Linked DNA regions of Bombyx mori. The protein of the gene in region 2 binds, or shares a complex with, the protein of the main gene of each other region. Links are inferred from orthologs where the notes say so. Each region holds a gene or a part of one and is shown on either strand. Other genes may lie near its edges. The genes, in order: integrator complex subunit 4, integrator complex subunit 1, integrator complex subunit 7 and integrator complex subunit 9.

Region 1 (5,700 bases), on a different chromosome or scaffold from region 2:
ACACTTTTTACTGGTGGTAGGACCTCTTGTTGGTCCGCACGGGTAGGCACTACCACCCCGTCTATTTCTGCCGTGAAGCAGTAATGCGTTTCGGTTTGAAGGGTGGGGCAGCCGTTGTAACTATACTTGAGACCTTAGAACTTATATCTCAAGGTGGGTGGCGCATTTATGTTGTAGATGTCTATGGGCTCCAGTAACAACTTAACACCAGGTGGGCTGTGAGCTCGTTCACTCATTTAAGCAATAAAAAAAACTAATTCTTTTTCTCAGTCGTTTGCACTCTTGGGTGGTCGTGGTCATCAGTTCGGGTAGTGGAGCGCTTCATAAGACATCGCCATTCCTCGTGTACCGCGACCTTGTACAATACATACTTAAAAACATGAGTGGATGATTATGAGTTAAGTACCATTTTTAAGATTTTTGAGTTTTAACATTGAATGAAGGTGTTATGTGACAATAAAATATATTAGACCTTAAAACCCCTGGCATTAAAGGCAATTTTTAGATATTGCATGTGATGAAGTTATGTACGAAAAAAAAGTACAATTAACAAAAGTTTGTTGCCAAAGTTTATCATATGTCCTTCATCCATCATGTCTCAAATTATATGTATACGTTTAAATACATACATATTTAGATATTACACATCCAGACAAAGGGCACATAAACATATCCATCACACGAATGTTTGCCCGATGTGGGAATTGAACCCAAGACATTCTAGCCAGCACTCAGCATTAACTACTGTGCCAAGTCAGTCATTCACTAAAAGGAACTACTACAAAAACATACATCTCTTTCACATTGATGTTTATAATCAAAACATTACCCTAGTACTCTTATCAAGTAATTTAATAATAGCTATACCTGTGGATATCTTTTGAGATTCTCCAGAATTTTATCAATGCACATCTCCAGGCATGTTTTGGACGCGACTGTACACGAGCCCAGCAGTCTGTGTAGACCTTCCCTGACGTCCATTGAATAATCCTAAAACCAAAGTTCTATTATTTTCCAGTAAAAACTAAATTGCCCTTTTTCGTAGAAAGAGGTGAAGTTTGATGGTGGCAGATTTCTGTTTAGTTACTTAGGAAAAAAATTAGAAAATAACTTTCATTCTCTCTCTTTCTCTCGCCTTCTCTCTCTCTTTCTCTCGCCTTCTCTCTCTCTCTCTCTCTCTCTCTGCCATCAGGGAAAAGTGGTAATAGATGTCGTAGAGTCGCAGTTGTATTAATCACTGCTCCACCATCCATGAAAACGGAGCGCATGAGTTCTTCCTGAACAAACCAAGCAGGAGGGTGACTTGCGGGCTTCATAGCATCACAAGGACTGTGTGGCGACTCACTTACCCGCCACTTCATACCACTACTTGGGCAACCGCCTTTCAATTTTGGTAAAATCGCTGTCGCTTATGATTTTAGGCCAATCATACGCTATTTTTGTTCGGAACAGGTTCGGAGATGCTTCTTTACTTGCGTTTATTTAGAGTTACTTATGTGCTAATTTACCTATATTGTACATAAATCCAATCTTATATACAATATACGTAACCTAAAAGGCATAACAATATTCATTTTCTCTGTGCTACCTATCTTCCGAGTCAATGCCTAGACAATCTAGCCAGTTGAAGCAGCTTAACTACGGCTGCTCCTACAACTGTATTACAAATAGACTATTATCAGCTTCTAGTATCTCCGGGACTGACCTCCAAGGCTCCTAGTATGGTCTCCAGTAGGTCTTCTCTAAGTACGATATGATGCGAGATCCTCGTGAGGGCGTCGATGGCTCGCAGCCGCACTTCCTCGATCTCGTCATTGAACATGTCCACCAAAAAGTCGAGGGAGGTGGTCGCGAACACCGGGTTTTCTAGTGAGAGTTGACACAATGCTTCGACGGCTGCCGTGCGCACCTCTGGGAACATAAAGAACAATTAGAACAAATTATTACGTTGAAAACAATAATTAAATTCGATTATAAAAAATATTGTAAATCTTACAAGCCTTTATTTGTTATAGAAAAATTGATTAAATTTTATCACTTTGGGGTTTCTGAAAATATACTTTTTTTTAAATAAAGCCTGCGATGCTTAATATGTTATTGTCATCTACAGGAGCAATGAAAAACTAATCGAAGCGTAGCCATCTAGTGGCCGACGCCCATAAACATTTTTGTTGAGTGCTTGAGTTGCTTATCTATAACTAAATTATGTGTATTATCTATGCTCTGACCCATGAGTTCGTCCTCGAGTCCGTGCACAAAGGCGCCGGCCGCCCCGCCCGGCAGCAGCTGCACGGCGGCGGACGGCACCAGCGCGCCGGGCGCGTCGTCCGCCCAGCGCCGCCCGCTCGCCCACGCGCCGCTGCGGACCAGCTCCGCGCCGCGCTCGTGTGCTGTGCGCTTTTTCTGTATTATATTCAATTTACACTATAATTAAATGTGAATTAGATATGAGATAAAGCTAATGAGACCAAGGAAGGCTGCTTCCATGATCACGGTACAAACGCCACGCATATGCCTGGTGTTTTAACAAATAAATCACATTAAGACGTGGTCGAATTGACACGCGATATAATGATATTATGAATATAATGATATCAAATACGCCAGAATGAATGAGTACAATCAAAGACTTAATTGCGTTTTCTGTAATATAAATAAGAAAACAACATTTAAAGCCCTTAATCTGTATTTAAATTAATATTTTAAGCAGTATTATTATACTACTAGCTGTACCCGTCCGCTTCGCTAGGCATTTAAAATTAATATTATTATTTCTCACCCTCCAAAAAGATTCTTATCATTAACGCCCCCACAACTGGTGTAGGGAGTCCAACGCTCATATAAATATTAGCCTATCCATTAAGTACATGTATTTTCTACATGGATACCAAGTTTCAAGTCAATCGAATATATGGTTCAGTAATTATAACGGAACATCCGTAAAAGCCACTATAGATTTATAGATATAGATGCAAAACTGAACAAGTCACTTCATGGAATGACAGGTGAGTGCTTCCGTGCTCAGAAAAATCTAAAAAACTAAAAGAGCTTTAAAGGTTTTTCTTTACATGAATATTATAAGCGTTTTTGTGTGCGTTTCTAATCCATATAATGTCTGAACATATTTAAATGTGTATTTCAATGGTATATTTAGTGTTGGTTCCGTAATCACCTTCATGTTACTCATTAGTTGTTTATCGAGGGTCTGCAACAGGAAGCGATCGGAAACGGCGCGCGTGGTGCCGAGCAGCGTGCAGGCGAGCGCTCGCACTTGCATGCATAGATCGTTCACGGCCGAACATATGCGAACAAAAGCGTCATCGACCATTCGTATCGTGGTCTCGTCATCTTGTAACGTTATTACACTGAAAATAACAAAAAAAAAATCCTCAAATTCATTGTTCTGAGATGTATTGGAGAGGCACACATTATATATTTTGTTGTTGTTGTTTTGTTTATTGTTGGGTTTGTAATTGTGATTAAACAATTATCACTTACATACGAATCTATATACGATTAAGATTATTTCACTTAATTATAATCAATTAATAATAACATTAAAAAACGTTTGAAATAGAACTTAAAAGTTATGGTGATCATGAATCATGTAAACAATGTAAGACTTTTATTGCAAAGAAAGTCAATAACATTATTTAAAAAAAAAAACGAGTGTTGTTTTACATACTTTTTGACTATAAAAATAAACTCTCCTGGTGGCTCTCGAAGGGAGCGACAGTCTGGCAGACTTTTAAAATATTTTATATATACTTATTTATTTACTGAAATTTTTTATTCTTATTTACTTTTAATAAAAAAAAGTTGCCGACATATTAACTTTATTACAATTGCTTAATTAACACTAGATTTACCAGACCAGTCATTTTGACTGGTCGTGCAACTTCAATTCAAAATGACTACTACATTAAATATTTGCTTTCCAAATTGATGTTATAACTTTTGTAGGTATAAGTAGAGAATACATTTTATGAACTTAATTTTACTTTATATAATGTTAGTAACAAATATATTTTTTGTTATAACTATTTATACCAGAACCAGTCAAAATGACTGGTGCATGTTTCTAGGAAGAAATGTATGATTTCGGGAGAATCATGAGACCGTGAAAATACAAATAGTGCCCATGCTTCTTTTGTTCATTACGTTATCGTTATCGAGCCGATTTAGGCGATTACGGTATCTATACGATTTTTTTACGAGTACTTAGTCCAAGCGATCTCCAAACGTAATCATTCATCTTTACCCATACAGTGACACGTAATAAACATTTATGAGTATTTGAAAAATATTCAAATATATGTTGTTCAGCAAGTAGCCTGCATATCCTTAGCCCCTAAAAATGTCAAAACGAAAATTTGTACAGAGCTAGAAGCCTCTCGAGTTTTGGGGAAAACCTGGATAATCACGCAAGAAAAATTGAAGGCATTTCTTGTAATATTGTACGCACGTGGGGCATACGAAGGAAATACTTTGAGACTTCAATATTTGTGGAATAAAAAATGGGGACCATCATTTTTTTCTAGCACTATGAGTAGACGAGATTTTACAGATATTTTACGATACATTCGGTTCGATAAAAGAAATCAGAGGAGTCAACGTTTGCAAACAGACAAGTTCGCTTTAGTCTCAGCAGTTTGGGATAAATTTATTGAAAACAGTCAAAATTGCTTCAAACCGGGAGCTTCTATTACTGTGGATGAGCAACTTTTTCCAACGAAGGCCAGATGCAGATTTACTTAGTATATGCCAAACAAACCCCATAAATTTGGCATCAAATTTTGGTTAGCGTCTGATGTAGAAACAAAATATGTGGTAATAAAAAAGTACTTTTACTAAGTACAAAACATAAAAACATCAAAATTGATAAAGCAGCTAAAAAATACCTGAAACTGTATTGTTTTATAATAAAACTAAATTTGGCGTCGATGTGACTGATCAAATGGCACGAAAATATACGGTGAAGTCTGGTTGCAGAAGGTGGCCACTTCAAGTGTTTTTCAATATTTTAGATTTAGCCGGAATAAATAGCTGGATATTATACAAAAACACAACAGGAAAATATCTCACGGAAAGACTTTCTGTTTCGATTAGCAGAAGAACTTGCTTCAGAATATCAGACTTCAAGGCAAAAACTACACGAAGCTGATATATCAACTACCGCTGGCACGGTTTCTGTGCGCAAATGGTGTCAAATACGATATTGCAATAACAATAAGACTACAAATATTTGCAATAAATGCAAGAAAAGTCTATGCGGAAAGTGTACAAAAAGCAAAATCTACATCTGTAGAAATTGTGAGCGATAAACTGTAAAAATTAAGTGTTTTGTTATTTGAAAATGTCCATAAATCCATTTTTGTATAAAAATTTATATTGTTGAATTCTTTTTACCATTTTTTAAGAGTGAATAAAGACTGGAAACTCAGTTAAGCATTTTTTTATACACCAGTCATATTGACTGGTTATGGTAGAAATACGTATATTTAAATGGCTGGTAAATCTAGTGTTAAAGATGGTGGGCATTCAAATGTGCAATCTATTATTCTACAAACTTTAGGTAATAATAGCTTTACAAGTTAGTGTGTGAACTAATAAATTTAAAATTAAAGAATAAAAAAAAAAAAATTAGAGTACTTACTTTTCTGGGTATTTATTTCCAAGTACCCAAATCAACTTTAGGGC
Region 2 (5,149 bases):
TCTCAAGTTGAAAGAACTTTACTGTACTTGACGTTATTAAAAAAAAAATGTTAGCATGATTGGTTGAAAAACCGATTTCTTACAAAGTTTAGAAGCAATATGGGAAAATTTAATAAAAATTTACTTTGTGAATAATCAGATGAAGGAGCTAACTTGGTCCAAACTAGCCAAATAATTCAACAGTTTGTTTTGTTGTGTTTACTTGAGCCTGGTGCAATCCAGTTTATAGATATTTATAGCATAATATGGGCATAAGTTTATAGATATTTATATTTACTAAGTTCGACACTAAACAACAGCTCTGTTGACTTCAAGCGGCCATTTTGTAAAGAACAGTTTAAACCCAACTCGAACTTCGAAATTGTTGAAACTCCGAAGGAGAGGTTGACTATAATTGAGATTACGAGCCCGTCGTCATTGAGCGCTTAATCTTTCGATTTTAGTTTAAACTAGGATTGATATTACGGGCCTTAATCTAAGCTATCCTGGTGGTTTTATTAAAACGTTTATAGAAAGTTTCTTTGTCACAAAAGTCATGTTGAGATATACGTGGATTTTATGGAAGCGAGAAGTGACCCATTGTCCCGAAATCTACATATCTATAGAATTAAGTTTGCGCGTAAGTAGCCTACTTTATTTAGAACAATACTATAATTCTTATAAATATCTCCATGCTAAACGGGTCTTAATAGGGTAATAGGAACAATTGTCCCTACAATTGACTGTACATAGTCAGTAATATTGACTCTTGATGAAAGTAATCATTCTGGTGTCCAACCGCCATGCTAAAGTCGCACAGAACACCCAAACTGCTTTAATCCAGATTGAGAACATCGGAACAAAATGTATTAATTAGCATATAATATATTAGCAGGCCCGGTGAAGGTTCAGCGTCTGAATGGTCTTGGCGAGGTGCGTCTCCACGTTGAGTCTCCCGCGGACTCCCAGGTCGAAGACGGCGGCCAGCAGCGCGGCGGCGTACTCCTGCATGCCCACCACCAGCTCCGGGAGCTTCTCCAGGGCAGACTGCGCTATTTCCGCTTGGTCACATTCCAGACACTCCATTATTGCTTCGAAGGCTGAAATTAAAATGGACGTTTGATTTCAACTCTTTGGCGGACACGACATTTGTTCTGAAGCACAGAACAGTATCGTGTGGTACGGCGACGCTACGCACCCGGGGCGGGGTCGGGCGCGGCCGGCAGCAGCCTGGCGAGCAGCGACAGCGCGGCCAGCCGCAGCGGCGCGTGCGCGTGCGCGGCCAGCGGCGCCACGGCGCGCAGCACGCCCCCCGCGCTCTCCGCGCCGCCCCACCCCCCGCCACGCCGCGCGCCCCACGCCTCCACCTCCTGCACAACAACACTCTACAGACATTTGTTGCTTCTTGACATATCAATTTTGACTTCTCGAATTAGTTTATGAGTAAAGGTAGGCAGCGACTTGGCTGTACTCCTGGCATTGCTGATGTCCATGAGCGACGGTAACCATTTACTACCCGGTGGGCCGTATGCTTACAAAGGCAATAAAAAGTATAATTAGATCTATTTTAGACTCAAATTAGTTGGGTAGTCTAGTTTGAAGCACCGCAATATTTGCAGTGGGGTGTGAGCTGTCTAGCATATAGTGCGACGGTTACCTGCACCAGCCAGTGCAGCGTGTCGGGCGGGTCGGAGCGGCGCTGCAGCGCGCGCACGGCGTGCGGAGGAGGACTCCAGCTGCCGCTCCCTCCCTCGCCCTCCGACACGCCGCTCAGGGCGGGGGACGAGCTGTCACAACAAGTACGTTTCATTAATTGAAGTCAAACTTCTTTAGAACCGTTATGATTTCAAACTCAATGAAACGAAAAAATAAGTCCATAGAAACACAAACACATAAACGTATAGGATTCAGCCGGCGAGAGAATGAGATAGAACACACGTTCTCAGTGTAGTGTTTTTTTAATACAGCGCCATCTATGAGATTTTTGAAGTTATACTTCTTTAGACGCGTTATGAAAATTTATGAGAGTGAAATTTACCGATGCGCGCGCACCGTGACACAAAATTAACAGAAATGAAGTTGCCCACTAAATCGCTCATTACAATACGACCGACGTAACTCGGCGGGTCTGAATATAGCCGCAGGTGAACTTTCTGAAGCATACAGAGAATTACCGAATTTATACGATGTCAAGAAAAGGGATGATGTCCAATATGCGTGTTTGAGGATGTTGTTTAATCGATTTTTTTTCAAATTGATTAAAACTTAAATAAAAAAATTATAAAAATAAAGTATAACTTCTTACGCGCGTACATAAGTACACGCACCCTTTTTTAATACTAACGTGTTTATGAAACCTCTTGTAGTGAATTTAAATTTAGGATTATACGTGAAGTTAAAATATCAATTCACAGAGGGCGCTACCTCATACTGTATAACAGATAATTTACAATTATACCTCATACTATATAACAGATGATTTACAATTATTTACTAATGACAAAATTTTACATATACTTAGACATTTAGGATAATAATTGTATTTGAATTTTTTAAGGTTTCACTTCTACCACGTGTGAATGGCACACATGTATTTTTGAATGGCCGGCTGTATGCGGTATGTAGGTGGTGACGTGTGTGTGGGCGGCGACTCACGCGATGGCGTCGCGGTGCTGGTGCAGCAGCAGGGCGGCGCGCGGCGGGCGGCAGGCCAGGTAGCGGCGCAGCAGGGCGGCCACGCGGTGGCTCAGCGCGCTCGACCCGCCCTCCGTCTGACGGACCATCTGCACGAAGCACTCCAGGATGCTGTGGATCTCCTCGCTGTAAATTATACGTTACTGCAATCACACTGTTAAAAAAATATGTAGTATATAATTAATATGGGCCCTATATTTACACTGGAGTATCACACAACATGACCTAAGTAATAATAACGTACGAGAAATTGTGCCTTTATTTATTACCTACAATTAAAATAAATCAAACTATTTATCTGTTTCTTTTTCTAGCTGTTCCTTCCACAGAGAAGTAGGGGATCAGGTTCCCTTATTTTTCTCCTTCACTGCGCTCTGTCTTCGGCAACATCATCAGTATTTGCGGTATTGAATTTAAAAAAAAAAAAAAAAACCGTTTCACAGTATGATAAATGTGAAAGAAAAAGTTTACAAATAAATTCTGTTTGTCTTTGTTTGAAAACTTTATTTAATTATAGCTTGGAGTTTCTACTCCATGTTCTCATCAACTTTTTATTTTTAATTGACTTTATATCTAACAAGGCTGGTATTCAACTAGAGGGGTGTTTGTTAAATAAAAATATTTGTTTTAAAAATAGCAACCCTAATTACACAGATCATATACCTCACAGCGGGTGCAAATATCTCCGAGTCTGGCAACACTTCGAGTGCGGAGAGTAGGTACTGATGTTGCTTTGCGTGCAGGGCGCCGGCCCCGCGCAGTAGGGCTCCGGCCAGGGGCAAGGCTCTAGCTCCCGCACCCTCCACGCGCGCCCACATTGAGCGGATGTCGGCCTCCATGCGCCATAGCCTGGGAACCAACGCAAGTTAGTTTACTGGTGGTAGGACCTCTTTTGTGTCTGCGCGGGTAGGTACCACCACCTCGCCTATTTCTGCCGTGAAGCAGTAATGCGTTTCGGTTTGAAGGGTGGGGCAGCCGTCGTAAGTATACTTGAGACCTTAGAACTCATAGCTCAAGGTGGGTGGCGCATTTACATTGTAGATGTCTATGGACTCTAGTAACCACTTAAGACCAGGTGGGCTGTGGACTCGTCCACCCATCTAAGCAATAAAAAAAAGCTGTTTCACACCTTACAGACAGACCCTCTGGCCTGACTGATTATCTGCCATGTTAGTATAAAACACAGACACTACTAGCATTACTCGTCCCAGTTTGTGATGTTGCGAATGCTCAGTTGTGCGGGGCGCCGCTTTGAGCCCGGTTTACTACCAACGGCGCATGTGAACGGATTAAGCTCACAGATTAAATTTTATTTCAAGATTTCTAATTTAACTTCTGTAAGTCCGCATGTCTCTCAGAGACACGAGAGAGCGTTAGTACGGTTATAATACTTCTGCGTGTGTTCCTTGGTGTGCGCGTGGTGCGGCGCGGTGATGGCGGTGAGCAGCGTGTGCGTGGGCTGGTCCGTGGCGCTGGGCGTGCATCGCGCCGCGCCCGCGCCCGCCCCGCCCCCCAACCCGCCGCCCGGCCCCCGCCCGCCGCGAGACTCCGCGCGACGCAGCAGCTCGGCTGTCTTCGGAACCTACACTCAATGATTATTAAACATTTCAATGACGTCATAAAAGCATGATTTTCTATCGACAAATACTTATTTGTAATGGTAAGCCAGTTATTTGATTTTATATTATGTTGTTGAAGGTTGAAACTTGTTTGTTCTTTGTTAAGCCTAACTTTATCATTTGTTTCCCAAATTAATTATAGAATAAATGAGTAACAGAAAATAATGGACGCACGACGAACCCGCCCTGCCTATTTCTGCCGTGAAGCGGTAATACGTTTCCTTCACCGTGGAAGTCAATCGTGAACATTTGTTAAGTAAGTATTTGATTAGAAAAATTGGTACCCGCCTGAGATTCGAACACCGGTGCATCGCTCAACACGATTGCACCGGACGTCTTATTCTTTAGGCCACGATGACTTCACTACTTTGAAAAAATCCGTTACATAGGTACAGGTTGAGCACCTTGAGATAGAGCATGAGCAGCAGCACTGGGTGGTGGTGCGCGGCGGCGCGGGCGGCGGCCAGCAGCGCGGGGGGCGTGGCGCAGCAGCGCAGCAGCAGCGGCAGGCGCGCCTCCACGCGCCGGCGCAGCGCCGCCTCCCCGCCGCCCCGCTCGGCGCGCACCCCCTCGCTGACGATGTAGCCCACCAGCACGCCGACCTGGCGGTGCGTGAGGCGCAGCGCGTCGGGCGGCTGGTGGTGCTTGGGCGCGGCCTTGTCCCGGCCCTGGCACAGCCGCGGCGAGCTGCACAGCGTCTCCAGCAGGTTCAGCACGGAGCCCGGCGCCCAGTCCCTGCGCACACACAGTACCACAAACATATACATATCTGAACCTACTCACAACTAAACTATATACTGCACATTATTGTTAATATCGTCTTCTCGCATTAAAACTTGCTAAATTTTACAGGAGAG
Region 3 (4,651 bases), on a different chromosome or scaffold from region 2:
AGAATTAGCTCGAGTAGCGGAAACACACATCGTTTGTACTATTTCTTTTATAAAATAAATTGAATGTCAGTCACAGTTTCCTTTTGTTTTTAAAGAGCTCCTGGATCCATCTCGTAACAGTACCTCTTCATGGAGGCACAAAGCGTGTCCCAGTAAACTGAACCGTAATACATACACTTCCTTAGGAATTACTACTATTAGACTACAGACGTCCATTGCTGGACAGAGGCTTCCCCCAAACCTCGCCACGACTGGTTATGCACTGCTTGCTTCCAGCGGATCTCCGCGAACCTCAATAGCTCCTTTGTCCATCTTGTGGGAGGCCTACCCACGCATTTTTTTTTCATACCTAAGCTGATGGTTTTGAGAAACCATATCACCGTCACCGGGCTAGTAGGTGAGCTCACGGGGCTCAAACCTGACGTTTTTGCTAACACGAACCCTAGCAAGAGCCGTGCTTCGCAGAATCTACCACCGGATCGGAAACGCGACCCACTGAGAAGATCCGGCGAGAAACTCAGTGGGCTGTCTGTGGATTAATTTACTTGCCGAGCCCTTCGTCGCAACCGACAGGTTCGGCGAGAACGATGACCGGATCCACGCTACGCTTAGTATTTGTGGAGTACGAGAAAGCCTTTGATTCGATTAAGACCTGGGCCGCGTTGCAGTCTCTCCAACGGTGCCAAATTGATTACCAGTATATCGAAGTGTTGAAGTGTTTGTATGAATACGCTACTATGTCAGTCCGATTACAGGACGGGGCATTGGAACCCATCCTTCTGCAGCGGAGAGGCAGAGAGATGTTGTTTTTCCGAAACCATTTACCACCGCATTGGAGAATGCTTTCAAAGTTCTGGACTGGAACGGGCTAGGCATCAACATACAACTCCCCTTCGGGTTGTCGACGATATTGTAATTATGGCTGAAACCTTAGGTGATCTACAATGCTCGAAGACCTCAGTAGAGCCTCTATCCGAGTGGACCTTAGGAATTAATTCGTGGTATAACAATGTAATCAGTACCTTCTCGTTGGTCCTCGGATGCTGGGTGGCGGTCACCGTGATTTGGACGCCTTTAACTTGTCGCTGCTGCTGACGTTTGCTGTGAGATACATATCGACGGGTAAACAGCTATTTGGTTTAAGCGATATTCTTGAAACTTTCCAGGAGAAACATGCAGTTTAAATTTAAAAAAAAACACGACATAAAAACTTTTTCAGCTATTTGAATGGAGTAAACTTTTAGATGTGTGGACGAGCTCACAGCCCCTGGTGTTAAGTAGTTATTGAAGCCCATAGACAACCACATCGTAAATGCGCCACCCACCTTGAGATATAAGTTCTAAGGTCTCAATATAGTTACAACGGCGGCCCCACCCTTCAAACCGAAACGCATTACTGTTTCGCGGCAGAAATAGGCAAGGTGGACCACCACCGACCGTGCGGACTCACAAGAGGTCCTACCACCAATAAAGTCGTCTTCCTACAGGCGCAATAAAGAAAAAAAAAAAAAAAAAAAGCAAACACGTTCAGTAATTTCGGGGGTGTCGGCAAACAAACAAACAGACAGATAAATAACTACGCTGCAAGCTTCCGCGCCGGTTCCTAGCACTGTCTGCGGTTTTTGTTAGACGTTGATATACCTAATTTAAACCGTTTTACTGTTTAATCTCGCATTTTTGTTAACATTGAATTATTTGTTAATGTCACTACATTACTGTGAGTGTTTTAAACGCGTGAACGAACATGTGACATATCGTCGTTGTCAAACCAAAATCTGCTATGTGAACTTTTAGAGATTTTTACTTTTTGAACTTTTCGTATAGTTCACGGCCCTATCTACCGTATAAAAAAACTGTTATATGTCTATAGCTTTAATATTTATCTATAGCTTTTAATTGATATAGTTCTTAAAAATTCACCTTCATATAAAATTGTATACGAAAATGTTTTTACTCGTTAATACAAAACAGAGTTTTGGCACATAGCAGATTTTGGTTTGACAGTGACGATTTGATAAACGCGGGAACAAGTCGTACAGGGAGTTACATTTATGTGTAAGTTTCCGTTCTACATCCCCCCCCTTGTGTTTATGTAGTTATGTAGATGCGCGGACTCACGCGAGCGGGCGCGCGGGCAGTATGACGCCCTCCAGCTTGAGCGCCAGGCGGTGGGACAGCGGCAGCGCGGCGGCGTGGTCCGCGGGCGCGGGCCGCCACGCCGGCGACACGGACACGCGGCACACGGCGCCCGTGCCGCGCCCCGACCACGCACCCCGGGACCACACCGCGCCCGCGCCCGCCGCCCGCACTGCGCACACCACCGCCTCCGCGTGCTGCACACTCGCCTCGGTCAGTGATCATTACGGATCCTCCCGATCCACTAACGGTGCTTTTAGGTACCTTAAGCACCGGTCACCGTCCTCGTCGAAGCCGTCGCTTGTGACGAAGAGCTCGACGAGTAAATTAACCCACAGACACAGCCCCCTGAGTTTCTCGCCGAATCTTCTCAGTGGATCGCGTTTCCGATCCGGTGGTAGATTTCGCGAAGCACTGCTCTTTCTAGGGCGAGTGTTAGCAACACTCCGGTTTGAGCCCCGTGAGCTCATCTACACGTCAAGGAGAAGCTGAAATAGCCTCTCAAGGCTATTAGAATAGGTAGGAAAGAAAACAAGGTGAGTGACACGACAGAGCCCAGGGGTATGTCCCGATTTGGTGATTACAATTGAAGACATGAGTGGATGAAGGGGTTAAGTACCATTTTTAAGATTTTTAAGTTTTTACATTGAACGAAGGTATTATGTGCCGATAAACCATATTAGACCTTAATATCCGGGTTTAAGGCTATTTTTAGAAATTGCATGTGATGAAGGAGTTATGTACGAAGAAAAAGTACAAGTAACAAAAGTTTTTTGCCCGTTTACTAAAAATTAATAAATTGTATCATATCCCCTTCATCCACTCATGTCTACAATTATAACCGTGCCTACAAGTCTGCCAGTACCCTCTGTCTTCACCTTCGACTTGTGGCCGTGCTCACGGGGCTCGCCCTGAAATAGGTTGTCAACACTGCCCCTAGCAAGCGCAGTGCCTTACTATATCTTTTTTTATGATTGAAGTACTACTGGTGGCCCGGAGGCCTTTCCAGTTTCACCAGGACAGGTGGGTGAGCATAGGCTCAGCCAGGAGGGGTAGGAATTGCTAACAGCTGCCCGAGCACCTCCGAAGGAGACCTAACAACTCAAGAACAACTGTTTCGCGAATGAATCTACTACCGGATCGGAATCGCGACTCGCTTAAAAGATCCGGCGAGAAGTTCAGCGGACTGATGTATGAATTAAGTTGCACGTCGAACTCTTGTCTTTGTCGAGTTCGACGAGTACGGTTACAGGAGTCCTTAAGTTAGCCTTTAGCGTTAGAGCTGAAGGCGTCTAATGCAAAGGTTATTGGATCTGATGGATCCGTAAGGACGTGATTGTATCTACCACCATATGCGTGTACGGGTATAAGCTAATCCTTTCTTCGAACATAGCCGCTTCGTAGCAGAAATAGGCAGGGTCTGTTCTCAACCCGTGCGTGCAATACTTTCGACTACCAGTAATTGCCCGTTGCTCCCTCCCACTACACTCCTTAGAGGACACAGGCGGAGCCAATCTAAGCTGACACCTCTTTTTTTATTGCTTAAATGGGTGAGATAGGACATCTACAACGTAAATGCCGCCCACCCACCTCGAGACATGAGTTCTAAGTTCTCCGTTTTTACAGTACAACGGCTGTTTCACTGTTCAAGCGGAAACGCATTACTGCTTCACGGCAGAAATAGGCAGGGCGGTGGTACCTACCCGTGCGGACTCACAAGACGTCCTCACACCAGTAAATTCCTTAATTTAATTTTTGTATGTGTAATTGTATTCAGTGACTCAAAGATATACAAATATACATTTAAATAAATTGATATTATATTCAACGCCCACACAAAAAAGCAGGTAAACGTATTCGTGACATGAACGCTCGCTAGAGGTGGAGATTGAACCCAAGTCTGCTCCAACAGTGGCAGACGATACAATACCCCCAATGTTGGGGCCACCTAGGAGTGTCCGAAAGAGTAAGTGCCTACCCTGTGTGTGATCCCGGGTGTGGTCATGGGGAATTCGGCAAGCTTGCTCGCTATGGCCGCGATGGCCTTGCTGGGAGACAGCGCCACGGCCTCGTCTAGGCTGGTGGCCCGCGGCTCCGGCAGCGTGAGCTCGCGCTCCGGCTGGCTGCTGGCGATGGAGTCCAGCAGCTGCGACAGCTGCGTGTACGTGTGCTGCGAGCTGGTGCGCCGGCTCAGGGTCTTATTGTGCAGTACGAGAACGCGTAACGGCAGACAGTAATAGGACACTCCGCGGAATTAAAGACGATTAAAAATATTCATTAACGCGTGAATAATACGGTGTACTTTCTCGTGACGCTTGTGGCAACAGTGTCTTAACGTAATTTTGTATTTTGACCATCTCAGTAACTTTTATTGATTTTCCGATCCGCCCATCTCAATTTATTATTATTATTAATATGGTATACATTTTTTACCAACATTATACTTCTTAGTTAAACCAAGGTTTACCAGAGTTCAGGAATGGAACCCCTCATCCATTAACCAGAAAAAACAGAT
Region 4 (6,161 bases), on a different chromosome or scaffold from region 2:
TTGTGGCAACGCCAAGGTTAAAGCAGGGTCTAACTAACAGGGCGACGGCTTACGATTATTAAAAAGAATTTATTTTTCATTGTAAGTGACAATGCGGTTCAAAATCCCTTCCGTTTCTACACAGAGAAGTACCTTGGCACCTAGACGCGTTGGTCGCGCGAACGATCGTTCAGTTCGCGCGGCGCCCACTTACCAGGTTTACTAACTCAGCGGTAGATTGAGTACCTTCAACTTCTTGGGTTGCGATTCCGACCCGGTGGTAGATTCTGCGAAACACTACTATTGCTAGGACTAGTGTTGGCACATTCTTTCTGGTAGAGCCCATGTGCTCATTTACTCGTCCGCGACCAGTTGGAATTGTCCCCTAAACCATAATCGAGCCGGGAGAGCGGGCTGCGTACCTGTGAATATGATGGCGTGCAGCGGGTTGCAGGCCCACAGCTCGACGAGGTGCACGGCGGCGCCGAAGCGCAGGCTGGGGTGTCCGCAGAAGACGACGCAGGGCTGGCGGAAGTCTGCGCTGAAGGAGTCGTCGTGCAGGTCCCGCGCGTGCCGCAGCCGCCCCGCGCGCACCAGCGCCGCGTGCGGGAACGGCTCCTCGGGCAGGTACACGCGCGCCTGCTTGCCCGCCGACACCCACTCCGCCAGGATGTTGCTGTAGGCCAGCGACGCCTCGGCCGCCGGCGACACCACGTACAGCGGCACGTGCGCCAGCCCCGCCGTGTCCAGGTGCGCCGACAGGCACTCCAGCAGGTCGTACAGCACGCCGCTGGGGTACACGGGGCACAGCACGGAGCCGCCGGCGCGCAGCGTGACGGTGGCGTGCACGCACAGGTCGCCCAGCATGTGGTCCGGGTTGTGCGCCGGCGTCTGCGTGAGCGCGGCCAGCACCAGCAGGTCGGCGCCCCGCAGAGCCGCCTGGTTGATGGGGCGCGGGTGCGTGGTGAGCGTGCTGGAGCCGCTCACGTAGGCGACCTTCTCGTGGGCGGAGCGCAGCACCCAGTTGGCGGAGCCCAGACAGAAGCCGGAGCTGACGGCGGTGGCGTCGAGCGCGCCGTACAGGTCGACCTTCTCGTCGTAGCCGACCACGCGGACGCGCGCGAGGGCGCGGGCGACGTGGTGCGGGGCGAGCAGGCGGCGCCACGCGCGGGGCCGCACCACGTCGGCGAGGGGGGCGGGCAGCACGTGCACCGCCTCCTTCCAACGCTTGGCCGAGCCCGACCCCGACCCGCTTGAGCACACCCACTCCGACAGCTCCTCCAGGTAGAACCTCCAAATATATTATCTTTATTACATCTTTCTGCTGCTTCAATCCATTCTGATACTGTACTTTCAATAAGCATATTCTGTTTACAATAATATGGTGTTGTTATATACTCTATAACCATATATACAATACAGAAATGTATATTTTTTATCATTATACTTTTGAAGGCATAAAAAGAATAGAGAATGAATACCTTCCTATTTGTAGAGTAGGTTCAGTGGCATACACTTGGCCCTTGAAACCTGTATCTTCTGTTATAAAAGGCAGGGCCAGCATGCAAGTGTAATTTGAGATTAAAATTACATCTAGCTGAGAAAAATCGACTACTTTATCGAGAGGCGGACAAAACTCAGGCATGCTATCAACAAACACTCTGCCGCAACACTCCTTTAGTTCCTGTAATGAGATGGGTTAGTTTAAATATCACCTGATATTGATTCTGTTTTTATTATAAAGAAATATCATTAAATTTAACATGTTATTACTTATTTGACATAGGGTTTTTAATCATAGCATTGGAGTCAGATTTAAAATATGAGTCCCTTTGATTTTTTATATCAGAAATCTGTTGAATGCAGTTTGGAAGGTACGTGTAATGTAACTGAGAGATACAGTTGGATAAGTTTAAAAATTATTTTAATGAGGAGTTTTGAGTTTTTTATTAATTTAATGTTTGTATATAAAATAATTAATTGATGAAATGTGTTTTTTTGCTTAAAGACTGTACCTAATGGATTCACCAGAGAATAAGCATTCTGTGAGTATTAAAGCAGCATACTGACTATACCATATTTAGTGGTGGATTCAGTATCCTGTCTGTTTTTGCTGTGATTGCCTCTTGTTTGAAGAATGGAACAACCATCATACAATACAACTGAGAATTCAACTTCATGTTTCAAGGTGGGTGGTGGTAATAATGTTGTCATGACCAGAGACTCCAGTAACCACTTTATACCTAGGTACTGATATATAAATAATGATAATAAGAAATGTAATAAGCTTAATTTTTATACCCCTTCCAAGAGTGGATCATTGTGATGTGGTGGTGTGTAATTAGGCAGGGATGCGAGTCGAGTGCTAGGCACTGGAGGCAGCGGTAGGAAGTTGAGCACAGAGTGGGATGACAGCCCACAATCCAACATTATGAGGAGCTCTTTGAAAGACAACACAAAGCAAGGCTTCGCTGCATCATTGCTTAAACAATACTGTAATCAAATCAAACATTGTTTAAGGTAAGCACTGGTTATATTATTTATAAGTCAGGGGTCCATATGGTAATGCTCAATTAAACAGATATGCCAGAATAGTGGAGCCATCCTGGTATTTTAAAGCCACACCTATTTTTCTGTCCCTATAGTACCTGTATAACAGCTGTGATCTTAGAGTACACATAGAATGATTTATGACAATTTCAAACCATTCTACTTATTTCTGTTCAGACACAATCATGCATTCCGATTTAACTGGTTAGTCATTGGATCCAAGCAATCAATACTTCAATAGAAGAGAGGGACAAATTCTTAGAGGTATCATTCATCTTGTGGTGCCTTTAGTCTCTAGTATTAGGTTCATATCCCAAAAAGCTATGAAATAATCACTTAAACAAAATTGTATGTAAAAATTGTGGGGATGTGGGAGACTGCCTCTCTACCCAGGATATCATTACAGTAAAAACGTATGGGCTGTTCTTGTAAAATAATTTACTATATTAATAAACTACTTGCAAATGGAGCACTCCACTGCAATTTGGTTTGTTTTCGCGTCCTGCAGGTTTAATTCTAACACAATCTTCTAATAGTATGAATTCTAATATTATTTTTGTATTTTGTGTTTCAAGTTCAACTCTTACATATTTTTCAAGTGTTTTGAATAAATTAGTGAAGATATTGCATACTTACAAGCTTCATTATTAGTTTATATATTATATTTCGAATTTGCGGACGAATATTGTTTATTACTAAAGTATGTTTATGTATTAGTAACTGCTTTATCAATTTGTCCGGCTTCAATATTATTTTTGCTTAGGTTTGATGAACCGTTTATTCAGTGTATTGCATAGATAATACATAACTGTACAACATCATTAATTGAAATAAATGAATATTAGGTACATAAGTACTTTCAAAATAGCTAAACAAAATATATTTATATTATGTAGGTAGGTAGGTTCTAGTTACCTACCTACAGATATTATCTGTCAGATAAGCATTTGATTGTTTTAATCGACAGGCAAAGGGAGCATATTCAATACATACAACTAAATATTTGTAACAAACGAGTTATATCTGTTGTGTAAAAGTAAAATGAAACAAACGATATTAAATGTAATTCATTAATTAACAAAATTTGTACTACGGTTCCATATTCGTTGAATTTGTTATTCGGAAACAATGAAACTCGTTGCATTTGCATTCCTCGGGAAAAAGAGTTAGCCGTATCACTCTCTAGTCCATTTTTTTTCCTACCTATGCTGATAGCCGTGAGAGGCTATTTCAGCTTCGCCCTAACGTGTAGGTGAACTCACGGTGCTCAAACCGGAAGTATTGCTAACACTGGCCCTAGCAAGAGCAGAGAAACTCAGTGTGCTATGTCTATGGGTTAATTTACTCGTCGAGCCCTTCGTCACAAGCGACGGGTTCGGCGAGGACGGTGACCGGTGCTTGAGGTGTGTACTTAAAAGTACCGATAATGAATCGGGAGGATCCGTAATGACGTGTTTAGAGCGACGTCGACTTGTTACCGTTCGGTCCACAGGATCGGGTATGTCTATTTATTAAGCTATTTGTAAAACCTTTGGTAAGTAATATATTATGAACCATGAAATACATTGTTATTATTATACTGTACTGTATAGCAGATATACCTAGTGTTATTCCAGTCAAGTTTAGTGTGATAAAAATTAGATTATCTACTTGTCAATTCAGATTATAAATTATGTTGGTGGGAAGTCATATCCAAGTCCGTTATGCTATTATTGTACACAACATTTGTTACGTTGTTGTAGGTAATTATATATTTTATATGTATACAGTGTAAGTGTAAGAATAGTCGTCGTGGCCTAAGCGATAAGACGTCCGGTGCATTCGTGTTGAGCGATGCACCAGTGTTCGAATCTCAGGCGGGTACCAATTTTTCTAATGAAATACGTACTCAACAAATGTTTACGATTGACTTCCACGGTGAAGGAATAACATCGTGTAATAAAAATCAAACCCGCAAAATTATAATTTGCATAATTACTGGTGGTAGGACCTCTTGTGTGTCCGCGCGGGCGGTGCCACCGCCCTGCCTATTTCAGTCGTGAAGCAGTAATGCGTTTCGGTTTGAAGGGTGGGGCAGCCGTTGTAACTATACTGAGACCCTTAGAACTTATATCTCAAGGTTGGTGGCGCATTTACGTTGTAGATGTCTATGGGCTCCAGTAACCACTTAACACCAGGTGGGCTGTGAGCTCGTCCACCCATCCAAGCAATAAAAAAAACACAACTCTGTACAACCGCTAGGTAAGTACATAACACAGTCGAGTCGAATAATAATAACCGGTCCGTGAATGGATGCGGAGTTTATTAAACATAAAAACCTAGGTTAGGAATACAGTCAAAGGCCTACGTACATACACACATACATGCATTCGGTTTATAAAAGAATTTTATTTTATTTATATCCGTGTGGTGATATGGTATCCGTGGTTTTATATTATAACTAGCTGACCCGGCAGACTTCGTAGTGCCTCAATCGAGAAATAAAAGACCTAAACTTTTGTATAAAATAAACTTAAAACAAATAAAAGGAATCCGTCCGACGCGGGACACATCAAAAATTTTTATTTTTATTTAATTCCGAACATTCTCATATTTATCTACCTTTTAAACCTTGGACTTCCACAAATAATTCTGGACTTCCACAAATAATTCAAGACCAAAATTAACCAAATCGGTCCAGCCGTTCTCGACTTTTAGCGAGACTAACGAACAGCAATTCATTTTTATATATATATAGATATAGTCCTCATGATAAGGAAAATAATTCCGCATTAAATTAAAACAAATGTGACGAATGCCAATACAATTCACTACATCTACATGTTCTATGGACCTTTCGCTGACTATTTAGTACAGGAAAAAGCGGTGCGCAGCTGCTTTACCGCCGTTGTCATCAGAGAACGTCACAGCTCTCTACCTGATGGACAATAGCCTTGTCTGCCTTACAAATCAAATAGAGCAGATCATTATAAAAATGCATGTGCAAACCATAGATAGGTTTCATACTTCAGTGGTGCAAACTAATTATACGGATTCTTAATTTGGCAAAGTGAACCTCAGACGACGACAGAGCAGACAAGTTCGCAGTGTTAGCACAGACTGACGCCACTTCATTGCTGTAATCCGAACAATACACAAGCGCTGCTTTCTCTTTACTTTTTAGCTGAAGCACATCGATAACAAAAAAGGCATATCAACACAATTTCTCCATTAGGAAAATAGTATTAGTATTAGCAACTGAACCAACTACCAGAGACTAGGGAGCTAGTTAGGAAACAGTGGGAGATACTGTTGCAGCCACGGAATAGATCTATTCCGTGGTTGCAGCCAATGAAGTAGGAAACCTATGGAAATGAAACGTCAACCAAAATTTCGTGCCACTGTGACGTCATCTGGCCACAAAACATGGCGGCTTTAGTGCTGTACAAAAGATTTCAATGTTATCAGGTTTTATCGATAAACGTTCTTGGCTCATTTTATTTTAAATATTGTTGAGTATTATTTATTTGTAGAATTTATACTTTAATGGGAAGTAAGTAGGTATATTGTTATGTGCAAATATGATATGATTTAGATGGGTGAAATCTAAGACAAGTTCGTCCTTCGAATTTGCCAAGTAAACGATATGATGA

Evidence for each region.
Region 1: integrator complex subunit 1 (region 2) and integrator complex subunit 4 share a complex: the UniProt entries of both Homo sapiens proteins name them as parts of the integrator complex. The link is inferred for Bombyx mori from reciprocal best matches to the Homo sapiens genes INTS1 and INTS4.
Region 3: the proteins of integrator complex subunit 1 (region 2) and integrator complex subunit 7 are in contact, whole or in part, in a cryo-EM structure (PDB 8RC4), measured with the Homo sapiens proteins. The link is inferred for Bombyx mori from reciprocal best matches to the Homo sapiens genes INTS1 and INTS7. Residues at the interface, in NP_001073922.2 of Homo sapiens: Leu1378, Gln1381, Gln1382, Gly1385, Gln1386, Ala1389, His1429, Phe1430, Leu1431, Cys1433, Pro1434, Arg1437, Gln1438, Cys1440, Gln1441, Pro1476, Ala1479, Gln1480, Met1483, Leu1484, Gln1487, Arg1552, Pro1554, His1555, Leu1556, Glu1557, Glu1558, Pro1613, Ser1614, Gly1616; in NP_056249.1 of Homo sapiens: His150, Asp151, Leu187, Ala188, Thr189, Pro190, Val191, Lys194, Thr223, Ser224, Tyr225, Pro226, Ser227, Thr228, Asn262, Asp263, Pro264, Arg265, Lys266, Pro303, Tyr304, Gln349, Glu350, Cys352, Tyr353, His354, Asn355, Arg357, Ala360, Gln384.
Region 4: integrator complex subunit 1 (region 2) and integrator complex subunit 9 share a complex: the UniProt entries of both Homo sapiens proteins name them as parts of the integrator complex. The link is inferred for Bombyx mori from reciprocal best matches to the Homo sapiens genes INTS1 and INTS9.

What each region holds. Positions count from the first base shown.
Region 1 is NC_085121.1:12,651,332-12,657,031, forward strand, and holds part of integrator complex subunit 4, read right to left. Parts: coding exon 5,657-5,700; intron 3,366-5,656; coding exon 3,173-3,365; intron 2,404-3,172; coding exon 2,229-2,403; intron 1,912-2,228; coding exon 1,706-1,911; intron 991-1,705; coding exon 868-990; intron 1-867. UniProt on the Homo sapiens protein: Component of the integrator complex, a multiprotein complex that terminates RNA polymerase II (Pol II) transcription in the promoter-proximal region of genes.
Region 2 is NC_085131.1:769,875-775,023, forward strand, and holds part of integrator complex subunit 1, read right to left. Parts: intron 5,028-5,149; coding exon 4,697-5,027; intron 4,256-4,696; coding exon 4,065-4,255; intron 3,523-4,064; coding exon 3,337-3,522; intron 2,800-3,336; coding exon 2,635-2,799; intron 1,767-2,634; coding exon 1,637-1,766; intron 1,350-1,636; coding exon 1,178-1,349; intron 1,080-1,177; coding exon 868-1,079; 3' UTR 1-867. UniProt on the Homo sapiens protein: Component of the integrator complex, a multiprotein complex that terminates RNA polymerase II (Pol II) transcription in the promoter-proximal region of genes.
Region 3 is NC_085129.1:14,680,798-14,685,448, reverse strand, and holds part of integrator complex subunit 7, read right to left. Parts: intron 4,314-4,651; coding exon 4,115-4,313; intron 2,334-4,114; coding exon 2,119-2,333; intron 1,102-2,118; coding exon 1,023-1,101; intron 1-1,022. UniProt on the Homo sapiens protein: Component of the integrator complex, a multiprotein complex that terminates RNA polymerase II (Pol II) transcription in the promoter-proximal region of genes.
Region 4 is NC_085111.1:141,088-147,248, forward strand, and holds the start of integrator complex subunit 9, read right to left. Parts: upstream 3,466-6,161; 5' UTR 3,175-3,465; coding exon 3,166-3,174; intron 2,473-3,165; coding exon 2,281-2,472; intron 1,664-2,280; coding exon 1,461-1,663; intron 1,271-1,460; coding exon 402-1,270; intron 1-401. UniProt on the Homo sapiens protein: Component of the integrator complex, a multiprotein complex that terminates RNA polymerase II (Pol II) transcription in the promoter-proximal region of genes.